3 linked regions of the Drosophila melanogaster genome follow. The protein of the gene in region 2 purifies or fractionates together with the protein of the main gene of each other region. This does not show direct contact. Each region holds a gene or a part of one and is shown on either strand. Other genes may lie near its edges.

Region 1 (4,591 bases), 6.7 Mb from region 2:
AACTGGCAATTTCGCTTGTTGTGAAATGAAAAGCCACATTGCTCTCCTCCCTCTCTCTTTCTCCGTAAGTAAAAGCTTTTTCGAGTTTCGAAAAATATCCAACACTCTCTCTCTCTTCAACATTTTTGAATAATTGGAGAGCACAGTTTGTGGCGGTTCCTCCGCAAGGAGGCCACCACGTGGAAGGAAGCCATCGCTCTCATCCGCGAACACTTCTCGCCCACCAAGCCCGCCTACCAGATCTACATGGACTTCTTCCAAAACAAGCAGGACGACCATGACCCCATTGACACCTTCGTCATCCAGAAGCGAGCGCTGCTGGCCCAGCTGCCCAGCGGTCGCCACGACGAGGAAACGGAACTGGATCTTCTGTTCGGTCTGCTGAACATCAAGTACCGCAAGCACATCTCCCGCCACAGTGTCCATACCTTCAAGGATCTCCTGGAACAGGGCCGCATCATCGAGCACAACAACCAGGAGGACGAGGAACAGCTTGCCACAGCAAAGAACACCCGTGGCTCCAAGCGCACCACCCGCTGCACCTACTGCAGTTTCCGGGGGCACACCTTCGACAACTGCCGTAAGCGCCAGAAGGATCGGCAGGAGGAGCAGCACGAGGAGTAGGCGACAAAAAGAACATCAAATACCAACAGGCAGCAGCCAACGTCATTGATGACCTCATCGCTGCTGCCGCCCACCCAAACAGAACTTTTCGTAGCCTCGCCAGCCGATCGACGTCAGAGAGAGCCCAACAACCGGAGAGCTGGAGATGGGGAGCAGCCACATCAACAGCAGCAACAGCAGCCACATCTCTTCATACTCTTCATACTCACTGGCAATCGGCGTGCCGGTAAGCCTCGACTAGCTTCTGAAATCCACAAATCCACGCTGTTTGTATTGCTATTCGCAATGCCTCGAAAACGGCTCTATTTTCATATAATTTCACGCCGACTTGCGGCTACTTTGGCACAGAACGCCAGCTTTTGGAAAGCAATAATTTTTATTGCAACATTGAACCTTTATTTGCAACTAGAAACTAGATTTCGAGAATCATCGGGCGGGGCGGCTGAGGATCTGGCATTTCGTCCGTAAGATCGGTTATTCGCAATGGAGGAATATGATATTCGAACCAAATGGCGGGTGAAGTGCCTCGGCATGGAGCTCCATTTTCTTCGAATCTTATGTTTTGACATTGCGAGTCTGAAATGGATGTTGCCTGATCTCCAGCCGCCCCGCACAACCGTTGATTCTCACAACCGCCGGCTCCACTTTGTGCCGGTCAGCGGAGAAAAAGCGATTATTTGGCTATCAAAAGATATGATCACTGTGTTGAGAGACATGGCAATCATCGCTATTGTAACCATATATTTGCTGATTTTTCGTCTGATCCTGGTCCTTTGTGAAGCTAGCAAAAAACCCCCCGCCCGGTGAATGCCCACTTAGATCCTTTTGCAGGAGGATTTCGACGGCCCTGAAGGTGGGCGCCACCCGTTTCGTGATGATTCACTCTGAGCAATAATACCAAAAACATAGACCTTCCCTCTCTTATTGGCTCTCCCCAATGCCTCAAGCTTTTTCGAAGTTCGATTTCACAACAGGCGGATATAAAAGGGCTGCAATGTGGGAGAGCTGTTCAGTTCAAATCACCGGCCGCATTCGCTACACTGGCTTTGTCCGCCGACTGAACCAAGATTAATTTGATCACCTAACCTCACACAGCAGCGAAAATGGCCCAGCTTACACAGATGACCAACGAGCAGCTCCGCGAGCTGATCGAAGCTGTAAGAGCGGCCGCCGTGGGCGCCGCCGGAAGTGCAGCAGCAGCCGGAGGAGCAGACGCCAGCAGAGGCAAAGGCAACTTCTCCGCTTGCACACACAGCTTCGGCGGAACCCGCGACCACGACGTGGTCGAGGAGTTCATCGGCAACATCGAGACATACAAGGATGTAGAAGGTATCAGCGACGAGAACGCCCTGAAGGGCATCTCGCTGCTGTTCTACGGTATGGCCAGCACCTGGTGGCAAGGCGTCCGCAAGGAGGCCACCACGTGGAAGGAAGCCATCGCTCTCATCCGCGAACACTTCTCGCCCACCAAGCCCGCCTACCAGATCTACATGGAATTCTTCCAAAACAAGCAGGACGACCATGACCCCATTGACACCTTCGTCATCCAGAAGCGAGCGCTGCTGGCCCAGCTGCCCAGCGGTCGCCACGACGAGGAAACGGAACTGGATCTTCTGTTCGGTCTGCTGAACATCAAGTACCGCAAGCACATCTCCCGCCACAGTGTCCATACCTTCAAGGATCTCCTGGAACAGGGCCGCATCATCGAGCACAACAACCAGGAGGACGAGGAACAGCTTGCCACAGCAAAGAACACCCGTGGCTCCAAGCGCACCACCCGCTGCACCTACTGCAGTTTCCGGGGGCACACCTTCGACAACTGCCGTAAGCGCCAGAAGGATCGGCAGGAGGAGCAGCACGAGGAGTAGGCGACAAAAAGAACATCAAATACCAACAGGCAGCAGCCAACGTCATTGATGACCTCATCGCTGCTGCCGCCCACCCAAACAGAACTTTTCGTAGCCTCGCCAGCCGATCGACGTCAGAGAGAGCCCAACAACCGGAGAGCTGGAGATGGGGAGCAGCCACATCAACAGCAGCAACAGCAGCCACATCTCTTCATACTCTTCATACTCACTGGCAATCGGCGTGCCGGTAAGCCTCGACTAGCTTCTGAAATCCACAAATCCACGCTGTTTGTATTGCTATTCGCAATGCCTCGAAAACGGCTCTATTTTCATATAATTTCACGCCGACTTGCGGCTACTTTGGCACAGAACGCCAGCTTTTGGAAAGCAATAATTTTTATTGCAACATTGAACCTTTATTTGCAACTAGAAACTAGATTTCGAGAATCATCGGGCGGGGCGGCTGAGGATCTGGCATTTCGTCCGTAAGATCGGTTATTCGCAATGGAGGAATATGATATTCGAACCAAATGGCGGGTGAAGTGCCTCGGCATGGAGCTCCATTTTCTTCGAATCTTATGTTTTGACATTGCGAGTCTGAAATGGATGTTGCCTGATCTCCAGCCGCCCCGCACAACCGTTGATTCTCACAACCGCCGGCTCCACTTTGTGCCGGTCAGCGGAGAAAAAGCGATTATTTGGCTATCAAAAGATATGATCACTGTGTTGAGAGACATGGCAATCATCGCTATTGTAACCATATATTTGCTGATTTTTCGTCTGATCCTGGTCCTTTGTGAAGCTAGCAAAAAACCCCCCGCCCGGTGAATGCCCACTTAGATCCTTTTGCAGGAGGATTTCGACGGCCCTGAAGGTGGGCGCCACCCGTTTCCGGTAGCGGCTTCGGCTGCTTCCGGTTTCCGGTGTCGCAACCCTTCGCGATGTCCCCCGTGCGAGTGGAGCTACAGTGGGCGTGAGCCGGGCAAAACCTAAATTTCTTCGGAGATTTAAAAAACCAACAAATTTTTTGACTTTTGTCAAAACAATTCGAACCCACATAGCACTACGATGGCTAACGATTCGCCATCCGTGCGGTTGGCACGCCAAAACTGTCTCTTCGAGATCACGGGCCTAGGGCTGTTTAACATTCGACCCAAGCGATTTCGCGACAGGCTTCGGCACGCCAGTATATAACCCAAAACACACAAACGTCAGGGGCTGGAACGCGTCACTGCCGTGCTCCTCCAGCCGGCACAGTCATTCCCCGCCCCCACACCAAGCAAAACCGGCCGCTTGTGCAGATGACATAGGCGCGACCAGCCAACTGACCCGGCTGACCAGACTTGCACCGTGCGCCATCAACTGGAATCTTGGCCACAAGCACAGCAATAGTTTGGCCCGCTATTCCCACACAGAAACCCAGAGTGGGGGCCTATGGAAGACCACAAGTGGTTGCGTGGAACTGCTAAAAATATAAAACTGTAAAACTAAAGACTGAAACTAGAAAACAACCATTAAACTCAGAAACGGAAAACTGCGTAATTGTTTTTATTTTATGGGGTGGATGGGACAACATTTTTACAGGGAATCATTTTTTTAAACAAAAGTTGATATAATATAAGAAAAAATGCAATTAGCCAAGCTCTACAAAGCTCACGTATTTAATAAATGCTCCACCGAATGAAATGAATATTACAATATGCCATATAAAAATACAACATTAAATGATATTAAAACTGGTTTCTTTATTTCAATATAATTAAATGTCTCAGCCCTTCTAGACGTTATGTATAATAATTTCAAGTGGCTACAATCAGACTTAAAATCTAACTGGATTTACTTTCTACTAATAATATCCCAATCAGAAGTCAGATGTTGTGTGATTACATCTTGTTACATTTTTGATGATATTTAAATAAATTATGCTACATCATTAGTCATTGTGTCAAAGTAATTTTAATTTTATACAGTTGCAGTTTCGAGGTCGGACGGAACGGTCTGAAATTAACTAACAATATCTCGTGTATTTTGTGTGTGCTTTCGAAAAAAGTTTGTTTGAAAAATGTGTTAAGAAAGTGGCGCCGCCGAAATACCGATATCGCCAAGTATCCAATTATCGA
Region 2 (5,196 bases):
TTTGGAATTGGAAACTAACCAGTTATCCAGAAATTTAATGAGTATAGCCCGATATCTGAGCGATTTGCATTGCAGTGCGGTTTAATCGCGCTGTACCCGATTTGAGGTCACCGAAGAATGGTGACATTCGCCTGACATTTTATTTATATCCAAACTAATCAAGCTGATACATTTTCAAGTCTATAATTAGAGTGGGTTGTGTGTTAGTGACACGTGTGTCGTCTGGCCCCAAATTCTGGACCGGAATTGCGACGTTTTGCACGAATGCCACTCTGTGGACCGACATAACGAGTCTTCATTGAACTGATTCGCTGAATAAGGATTGCTTTCGAGAGATTAACGAATGTATGGATATACAGATACGTCATATTTGGAAATTTGAGTCGCAAAAAGGGGATTATGTGATGGGATTGGAAAACTTAAGCGCAGCTTGGAGAGCCATTATCGGAAGCCAGTAGAACTCAAACTCGAACGGCTAAGGCCACCATATTGCACACGAAATGTACAAATGTATTTTATGGAACATTAAGTGTATGATGAATTATCGCACTACGATGATATAACCCTATGGGGCATCAGAAAACAAAGGGAACTCAAATAGGCGAAACAATTGTGCAATTTAAATTGAGCCGCACGGTAATGAGAACCACAAAGAGAGAAGTTCATTGTTTCAATCTTTCTGTGACGACAGCAACTAGCAGGTGCAACTAAATCATTGATCTAATACATACGTCACAAGTGGTTAGTATTTATGATTCCATTAGCGAAGTCATATTCGGCATTTGCAAGTTGGGATCATAGACTTATAACACTTACTACACTTCCAGACACACTCCATTGAGTTTTTTGTAGATATTTACTTTCTTGTTCCGCTCGGCGTACTCAACCAATATTTGATTTATGGCTCTTTTCGAAAAACATTTCAGATAACCATGGATGACAAATAGCAGGCGCTACAGCTGGCCCTACGTGTCAGGCATTGGAAAACATTATTGTATTAACAACTTTTCGAATTTTGAATTCCCCCCTACGTGGACTTCCGATTCCGCATTACTCAAAAATCACACAATTCCGTCTTAAATTCCATATAAATCATAAAAATGCAGCCCGATCATGAAGCAACTATTGTTTAAACAACAATTTAAGGTGCGTGAACGAAATCATTAACTTTTCTGAATGCTTATTCGCACTCTCACCATTTAGTTGGGCTATTATGTTTGCCAGTGACTTTATGATTTGTTTATATAGATGTGTATTATAAAATTTCATTGTCGTCATCGATGGCAGTGATAAGTGCCTCGCATGACGTTTTTGTTTGAATACAATAGCCAAAAGTCAGTTAATTCAGATCTTTGAACTGGGCTTGAAAAACAAAACTTTGCCAAAATCATTCAAGGACGATTTTAATCGTTATGTGGGCCATTCAACGCGTTCGTATAATTGCCGATTAATTTAATCACTCAACTAGCCATTATAAAGCACGGTTTGTTGGCTTAGTCGAAAATTCTAACAAATGCCTGATGGGTTTGGAATGACATGTTGAAAAGTCCGCGAGGAAAACGAAGAAACACACAAGACACACAAAAACAGGTAATGTCATTAAGAATTAACTTGCATCAGGTTGAATTAACTTGTTTTAGATACTGTGCGTTTTTGCTTTGATTAGCCGTTCAAATGCCGATCGAAAGGCCTTCGAAAGGTTATTGAATCGTAAAAAGGTTTGCAGTTAGCTGCAAACGAAACGTTCATGCGTGAGGGAAATAATTAGTAATTAAGTTAAACAAATTAAATAAAATGATTTGCAATACAAGGATTCATATTGAGTGGCTTAAGTACTGCGTTTTAATCTTAATTAAATAAAGGGGAAAATTTGACCTAGTAACATTATGAACCACTGGAGCCTTAATCTTCAATCTTCAAGTGGACAATAAAGGTTTATCGATTGCTCATAAAACTGGAAAGCATTGAACTTAATCTCGAAGATAACTCAAATATTCGTTATCATGGGCATTGTTTATTGCATTGATATTGAAAATAGATCTTGAAGTAATCTTCTGATGGAATTTCACTTGAAATACAGCGGCATTCAAGGCTCTTCAGTTTTAAGAATCATTTCACCTCTATATAGTTAAGTGCACTTAACTTGTTTTTGGACAAGTTCAGGGATACTGATAAAAAAAAAAAACTGATTGCCTCGTTGAAGTCAGCAGCTTGAAGTGCACATATAGAAAGAACTTAGAAACTTTCTTAGAAAGAATATAATGAAATTGATATTGATATTGATAAGATTAAATAGGTTTAGCAACAGAAAGTGTACATCTTCCAGTCGGGCTGGATCAGCTACTTTCAGCTATTCACTCGATTCCTAATGAAATTCACAGTTCAAATTAGCTGCAATTCATATTGGAATAAAAAAAAAAGTGGTTTTTGGCAGTGCAAAAACGAGACTTGAAGCGTTGACACTAGACAGCAGTTTATATACTATTCGGTGTGGGATTTCTGTCCGCAAGTCCATTTAAATTCTAAATACCCAGGGACCACAGATCACTGACACCGCAAGTCGCTGATCTGTGGTAAAAATAACGAGAATTCACGTTTTCAACGCGATAAAAAAAGCTCAGGGAAAATATCAGCAGATATGAGGGAAAACGACAGCAACCACAGCAATTTGTATTGAAAATTATAATTTAATTGCTTTTGTATATTCAGCTCGCGTTGTATTTTTCAGTCGAGAGTTACAAACCAAATTACAATTACTTGTAAAGGTACTTTTTCAGTTTCAAATTAATTTGTAGTTTGTTTTCGCATTTCACTCACTTTTATTATTGGCAATTTGCTGAGCTGACTACGAGTTTTTATAACTCGCTCACTATCTGTATTGTTTTGTGCACCAGATTACTATATGTATATAGATGTGAACGCGGACTATATACACTCTCGTTCCTAATCAAAAGCGCTGCTTTATCGCCATAAAGCCCCTGCGATGTTGATCGTTTGAAGGCAACGATCCGACTGCCTCGATCCAAGTGCCGGAGATTTAAATTTAAATAAGATTTTCGCAAAGATCCGCCCGGAACAGAGTTACCAAGTGTTCCCTTTGGGGGAAAGAAGCTGAAGCACAGCTGAAAATTGGCTAAAATCGTGTTTTCTGTTTGCCTTTTTAGTTGAGAACGCAAATAAATAAGATTTATTGATGCGTAAACTCTGTCACATTTGCATTGATTGATTGAGAAAATTATTGGGCAGTAGAGAGAATTATACAATTGGCGAAGCACTAGGGTCTCATTATATTCCAATATGGAAAATTTTGTTCATTTTGCCGTGGTGAAAAGGAAACCGTAAATACTTTAGCCTGATTTTCTAAAGCCTCGCTCTTCTGAAATCTCGAAAATAGGGCGATAAGATAGAATCACCCTGAAATGAATTGACGTGGTATTTAAGACCCTCACTAACTTATGATTGTTGCCAAAAACGATTATAAATAATTTTTGATTTGGAAGAAAGATTATTCATTATTGAGATAGGCAGGAAATTGGCTCTAAAGCAAATAAATACTATGTTATCTAAAACTAGTTTTGTTTAGAAAATTTATTCATATTTAAGGAATTGTAAATTAAAACATTTACAATGAAAGAATTTGTAGTAGTGTAGTCATTACTAATTTATTTTTTTACATACATCACAGCGTATTTTATAATGAATTCAAGTTCGTATGAGTTGGATTGGACTCAATTGCAAAAGAAGATATGTTCTCGTAATTAGAACTTGACGTTGGTTACTACTTGAATGAACGCATTATTATTAAAAGTATGAAGTGAGTATATTTCCCATTTCCGGTCAAATGAGTCCACTTATTCAAAACGTCGTATTATGGAAATGACGTATTATTTAAAATCAATGCAAAGGAATGAGTGTAATATCGAAATTGTTCTTGAAAAGTCTGACTTTTGTGCAGTGTGAGTAGTTTCTGGGGATGAGACAGCATCAGGTGATTCAGAAGGCTCGCCGTCTATCGCTCTATCTGGCTAAAACGAACGTGCCATAGCAGGACGGGCCCTTTATCAGTGTCAGACTATCTCGCCTCACCTGAGCCTTCGGTGACTGATGCACCTCCTAATCGCATACTGATTTAGTTTCTGCGAAGCCCAATGGAGCGCCCGGGAGTGGGAAAATCTGAATAGACACTTGGTGATATGCATGACAAGCTGAGTGTGTACTAAGTTCAGAAATAATGAAATCGTTCAACAGGGGGAGGATCTGTCTCAATTGATGCGATGTCAGTTGGTCTGTTGTTGTCTGGGCTGATAAGAAAAGTGACTGATAATGGATTAATTTGCGATCTAGCTGGGCTAGAGAGCTATAAACGTGACTGCCGTTTCTGCTCAACAGCTGGTTCCAATCTGATCTTAACGAGCTAATCCGTTTCACATTACGTATACGACATGGACACACCGCCAAGCAACGACCAATCGCAAATCAGCTCTGAAACAGAGAAGTGAATCTAACTGAGTTCGTGACAAACAATAAACGGTAACAAATGTCAGTTACATTTGCTTCGCTTATGACTGGTCAGGAGAACGCAAACTGTTAATATTAATAGCTTTTACATTTAAATAATCTAAATCGTTGTGGTTTTTTACGAACATAAATATAAATAATTTCTAGAACTGATTATTATTTATAGGAGTCTCTATAATAGACAAGCCATCACACTGAGTCTGAACTAATTGCAAATGAGTGCAAGTAAATCAGGGCTTAGTTTTTTCCTATTTAACTGGAATTTATTTGTCAAAACAACAAAAATGATTACAGTAACTTAAGTGGATGGGTAGTGACATTTAATAGATAATAAATTATAATACATTTTTCAGTAACTTGCAAGTCCATATAACAAATTGAGATATTTTTTTGTAAATCGATGTTTAGCATAAGATCATATAAAAAGAACAGCTAAGTAATAAATTTAAAAACATTCATTTCAAGTTTTCTCTTCTATATTTGATCTGTTACCAGTAATATTTGCTAACTATACACACATTCTACATAAAAAATCACGTATACGATACTTACACGAAAAGTTCTTTGTTGAGCAAAACGAACTTAAAAGTAGGCTACAGTTTTTGATTCCCCCAAAAGTAAGCTATGAAATTCAATACGCGATAAGGGCAATCGAAGGAGGGGCTCGTTGTTTTGATT
Region 3 (5,013 bases), on a different chromosome or scaffold from region 2:
GCCCAAGAAACTGCCCATCAGTGAGATTAAGCAATTGCTAGAGGGCAAGGAATGCCCGCATATGAAGGAAACTCGCATTCGGAAATCGGCGGTAAACCTGGCCTTTTCCATCACCTTCGAAAACATGGAGCACTCTACGTTGGACTTTGTGGCACCCGACGAAAGCATATTCAACTACTGGACGGATGGAATAAACGCGCTGCTGGGTCAACCGATGGTCAGCAAGCAAAAGAACGAGGACTTCGACACTCTGCTGTCGATGGAGATCAAATTGCGCCTGCTGGACACGGAAGGTGTGGACATCAGCAAGGACCCACCGCCAATACCGGAGGATCCCGAAAACTATGATTTTTGCTTTGAGAGCTAAGCATAACGAGCACAATTACTTCACGAATTATTCGATTCATTCTAGACTCCCCCATCACCCAAGATACATGCCAAAGTGTACACACAACATAATCGTATTCTCCGATCTGATCTTCTACTAGTATTACTTGTGCAATTCCCCGAACACAAAATGAACAAACTGGTGACGGTCACGTCCAAGTGACTAACCGCTGCCTAGCCATTTAGTGAACTTTACACCATTTATGATTATAATAGGTATATAATATATAGAGATCATTAAATAACACATTTTATACATAACAATTTTGTACAAAAACTAACAAGAGAAGCGTATTCTTATCCAAGCCTAAAAGGTAATTAGTTAGTTAAAAAAAGCAAAAAGCACGGCTGGCCGATGCTTTGAACACCATTGCGGAAGGAATTGATTTGGAGCCGTTAACAATAATGGAATCTTAGCAATGTAATTTATTGATGCTCTGAATTGCACTTGGAATTTGCTATCGATTTGTCCTTCCGCAAGGATATGTTGATTGCAATTGTAAATGATAAAACACGCACTTGACGACCTTTGGTTCGAACTTTAAAGCATTCGAGTAAGCAGTAAGCCTGCGGAGCAAAACCAAACTGGCAGCCTACCCGAGTGGGTCTCTGGCTGCCTCCTCGCAACATTATCCACGCACGGGCAGCTTGCGCCGGCGAGCAGGGGCTCGATCCTAGATCCTTAATCAAATGTTATCCTCCAGCAGGAGATCGTTGTCATCGCCCCGGTCCGGCAGGCAGACAAAGAATTCGAGTAAATTCAGGATGGGACCACGCGAGAAGGGATTCTGATATCGTCCGCGTTTGTCCCGCAAGTAAGGATAACGCTTGTAGTTAAACATCTCGTTTGTGGTGAGATTCATGCAGGCGTGCAGGATCTGCCAGTGCAAATGATGTCAAAACGATTAATATTTTTGGAAAAGAAGCACTTACCGAAGTGCATGTGAGTATCCAACCCAAGCCGCAGAACACAACCGCCTCGATGAGTCCCAGCACATAGAGCATCGTGAAGCCCTCGATCATCACGCAATAGCAGGCAAAGTAGATGGTGAACGAGCAGTTGACGGCCACCGAGAGGACGAACAGGAAGAACCACATTCTGTTCCTCAGTCCCACGCAGTTGTAGATAAAGGGACAGTGGTGGTCAAAGTACGAGACACACCGGTTGCACACGCGGCAGTGTTTGGCTCGCAGCGGCCGGAGGCACCTGCAGCTGTGACATAGTCGGGTTAGCATCACATTTCGCTTCTTCAGTTTGTCGAAGTACGGAATCTGCTTGATGGCCCGGTAGTAGGCATCCGAACTGAGTGGTATATACCCCGGATCCCGGCGATTGGCAATGGCCCAGCTTATCCACATTACGGCGTTCCAGTATATAAAGCAATAGTGCGAGCGTCTCAATATGTTCCACGTAATGGGAATCGCACGGATCATGTACATGGGATAGCCCCAAAGTAGCACAGAGAAGAGAAATAGAAACAGCGGTCCCTTGGAGTCTCCAGCTCCGCCAAAGAGCCAGCCCCAACTTTCCGAGACTGAGGGAATCCAACGGGACTTCTTCTTCACCTCGCCGTACAGCAGGCGCACCACATCCTGGTGCTGATGAGCCTGTGCCAACATGATCGGCGTCTTTCCATTCTTGTCCCTCGGTTCCAGATCCAGCTGGGACTTCTCGCACAGCAGGCGAACGCACGTCATGTTACCAGACAGGCAAGCCAGATGCAGTGGAGTCGATCCAAAGTTGTCCGTCTTTTGAAGCTCAACGCCGGAATACATGAGGAGTCGCATAAGATCGGCATGTCCCTTGTACGCTGCCCAGTGGAGTGCCGTATCGCCGTTTATGTCAGTTAGGTTGTTCAGCGCTCCCATTCCAAGAAGATAGGCCGCCGTTGCAGTACGGCCGTACATGCAGGCGAGATGGAGGGGTGTAAGTCCCTTGAAGTCCGCCGCATTGACGGCAACTCCAGCCTGGAGGAGGACCTGCACCACGGACGCATGACCCTTCCTGCACGCCCAGTGAATGGGCCGTGGACCCTGCGTACCCAAACAGGGCAGATCGATCGGAGCCGTGCGTTCGATGAGGTATCGCATCAGCTGGACATTGCCGTTGAGAGCTATCCAGTGGGCTGGCGTGTAGCCATGACGATCCCTGGCCGACAGACACTCCATGCCGAACTTGTCCACGAGATTCTCCACCTCGCTGACCTCTCCGTTCTTGATAATATCGAAGATGTCGTCCAAACTCACGGTGGTGGCACCATCGAGCCCCTCAAAGAGGAGCACATTTTCGTGGTCCTCGACGCCGCTACTGCCGTGTCCACCGTCCGTGCCGCGACCCGTTAATGGCGGCGAATGCGGTCGATGATCCAAATGGATGTCGTCGGCGTGGGCATGGCCATCCTCCTCCGCGACGACCATGTTGCAGGAGGAGGAGGCGGTTAGGGGCAACGCCCACACACTGCGCGCCGCCCCCGGACTTGGATGCACCTTCGAGGCCATGTAGAACTCGAAGTCCACGCCCAGACGGTCCGCCGTTCCACCGTTGCCTTGATGCAGGGGGTTTTCCAGTAGGTGTGCAATCTTGTCGCCTTTTTCCGTTACGCTCCGACCGAAATTTGTACTCTGTTTGGCCAATCTTAGGCGTGGAATGCTAGGTAAACACGACTGCACTCGATGGCGAGGAAATTATGTCAGCACTGTGAGAAAATCAATATTTGTCCCGAATCGCAGGACTCGAATTGGGGCCACTTTCGAACTCGACTTGGCGCCAAACAAATCAACAGCTGACCGTTATTTTCGCAGTTGGGCGCGCAGTGTTGCCAACACATACTGGTAATTAAGACTTTTCTCAGCGAGGGGTGATTTAAGATTTAAGTCAAGAAGTATTAAAGAAAAAATATATATATTTAATTTGTTGGAAGGTCAATTGTTGAAACCGAGGTATCATTTAGCTTAACTTAAATATACTAGAAATCTCGTGGCATAAGCAAACTAAAAAAAAAAGGTTTATCAACTGACTTTTATATTAGTTTTAACATTATTGGGAAACATTTGTTTTCCGCCGCTAGAAACCTTTAAAATGTATACTACTATATTGCTTGGTACGAATGTTGCATTTTGAACTGATGCTAGCATTGCATTTTGTAAGGTTCCCATGTCTCTGTTATTTTGCCACCTGGTAACACTGTGCCCCTTTTTGATAAATTTGTTTCGTAAAAAATGGGCGACAACGTGGTGACGGAACTAAATAACTTGGATTTGAACAATCAAAAGGCATGTTAAACTCTTTTCGAACTGCATTCGAGTGTATGAGAAGTGCTAGTTAGCCGAATTATGTTGAAGTTGGCGCCGCAGGGCGGCAGATATTATAGCCAAATAAGCCGCATTTGCCAGTGGATTTTGCCGAAAATTCAGACGCAGTCGAAGCCACCAAAACAACAACAACAACAGCAACCACAATTGAAAGAACAACAACAACACAGCTACGCAACTTTGGTTGGTGTTTTAAGCTAAAAAGAATTGACCTAAACTTCAATTTAAACGCCTGTTACTGCTGGCACGTGTAAATGTTATGCTTGTCTGTGTGAGTGTATGCGATTCTCCAATGAATCAGTGCCGCCGGCTGTGACGTCACTAACAACCAACCAACTTCATGAGTGTCTGTTTTTTTTTGCTACTCTATTGCATCAGCCATAAAACGACGAAGATACGCTCAAAGACGGCTCGATAAAACAGAGATAGGAGCACCGAAAACATAGCACCGAAAAGTGCTCATTGCCATGTCCCCAATTGTTTAAACAATAAGAAAACATCAGTCGAAAGTAGATACCGAAAAAGAGCATTTGTCTAATTGCATACGTAGCACACTTGTGGCCACTTGAATATCTCCGGTTTATATTGATTTTTAACCTATTTCCGATGGATTTGCAGGCTGCCAAGATGAAGAAGGAGAAAAAGGAGAAGCCATCCGGCGGTGGAGATACTCGCAAGGGTAAGTAATTCTAACTAAGAATTAAAAACACAAAACGCACTTCCGTCTGTAAGATATGTAGCATATCTTTAAGATTAGCTGCCTTCTTCTCTCTAATACCTGAAATTCCACTGATCTCTGCTATATTGATTTCAGAACTCAGTCCCTTGCCCAAGTACATCGAGGAGCGCAATGTCTTCTGGGAGAAGTGCAAGGCGGAATACGAGGCCGAACTGGCGGCCAAGAAGCGTGAGCCCATCAAGGTGACACTGCCCGATGGCAAGCAGGTGGACGCCACCTCCTGGGAGACCACTCCGTACGAAGTGGCCCGCGGCATTAGTCAGGGTCTCGCTGACAACACCGTCATCTCCAAGGTGAACGGCGAGGTGTGGGATTTGGACCGTGTGCTCGAGGGAAACTGCACCCTGCAGCTTCTCAAGTTCGACGACCCTGAGGCGCAGGCCGTCTTCTGGCACAGCTCTGCCCACATCATGGGTGAGGCCATGGAGCGCATCTATGGTGGACACCTGTGCTACGGTCCGCCCATTGAAAACGGCTTCTACTACGACATGCATCTGGAGGGCGAGGGTGTAAGTAATTTGTGATGTTCAGTAAGAATTAAATTAAATTGAACGCCCAATTAGATCTCCACCAAC

Evidence for each region. The genes of interacting proteins can lie anywhere in the genome.
Region 1: the proteins of Treh (region 2) and Arc1 purify together in Drosophila melanogaster (affinity purification with mass spectrometry, with the first as the bait; one large-scale study listed by BioGRID). This does not show direct contact.
Region 3: the proteins of Treh (region 2) and Patsas purify together in Drosophila melanogaster (affinity purification with mass spectrometry, with the first as the bait; one large-scale study listed by BioGRID). This does not show direct contact.

What each region holds. Positions count from the first base shown.
Region 1 is NT_033778.4:14,357,337-14,361,927, reverse strand, and holds Arc1 (Activity-regulated cytoskeleton associated protein 1), read left to right. Parts: upstream 1-1,630; 5' UTR 1,631-1,727; coding exon 1,728-2,492; 3' UTR 2,493-4,001; downstream 4,002-4,591.
Region 2 is NT_033778.4:21,078,433-21,083,628, reverse strand, and holds the start of Treh (trehalase), read right to left. Parts: upstream 3,022-5,196; 5' UTR 2,758-3,021; intron 1-2,757. UniProt on the Drosophila melanogaster protein: Enzyme that cleaves trehalose to produce 2 glucose molecules that can be used by the glycolytic pathway.
Region 3 is NT_033779.5:12,100,175-12,105,187, forward strand, and holds Patsas (patsas), read right to left. Parts: upstream 3,112-5,013; 5' UTR 2,971-3,111; coding exon of another isoform or gene 2,887-2,970; coding exon 1,321-2,886; intron 1,266-1,320; coding exon 1,074-1,265; coding exon of another isoform or gene 1,062-1,073; 3' UTR 591-1,061; downstream 1-590. Other genes in the region: Ced-12, read left to right, coding at 1-367; ThrRS (Threonyl-tRNA synthetase), read left to right, coding at 3,721-3,882, 4,318-4,378, 4,514-4,947, 5,002-5,013.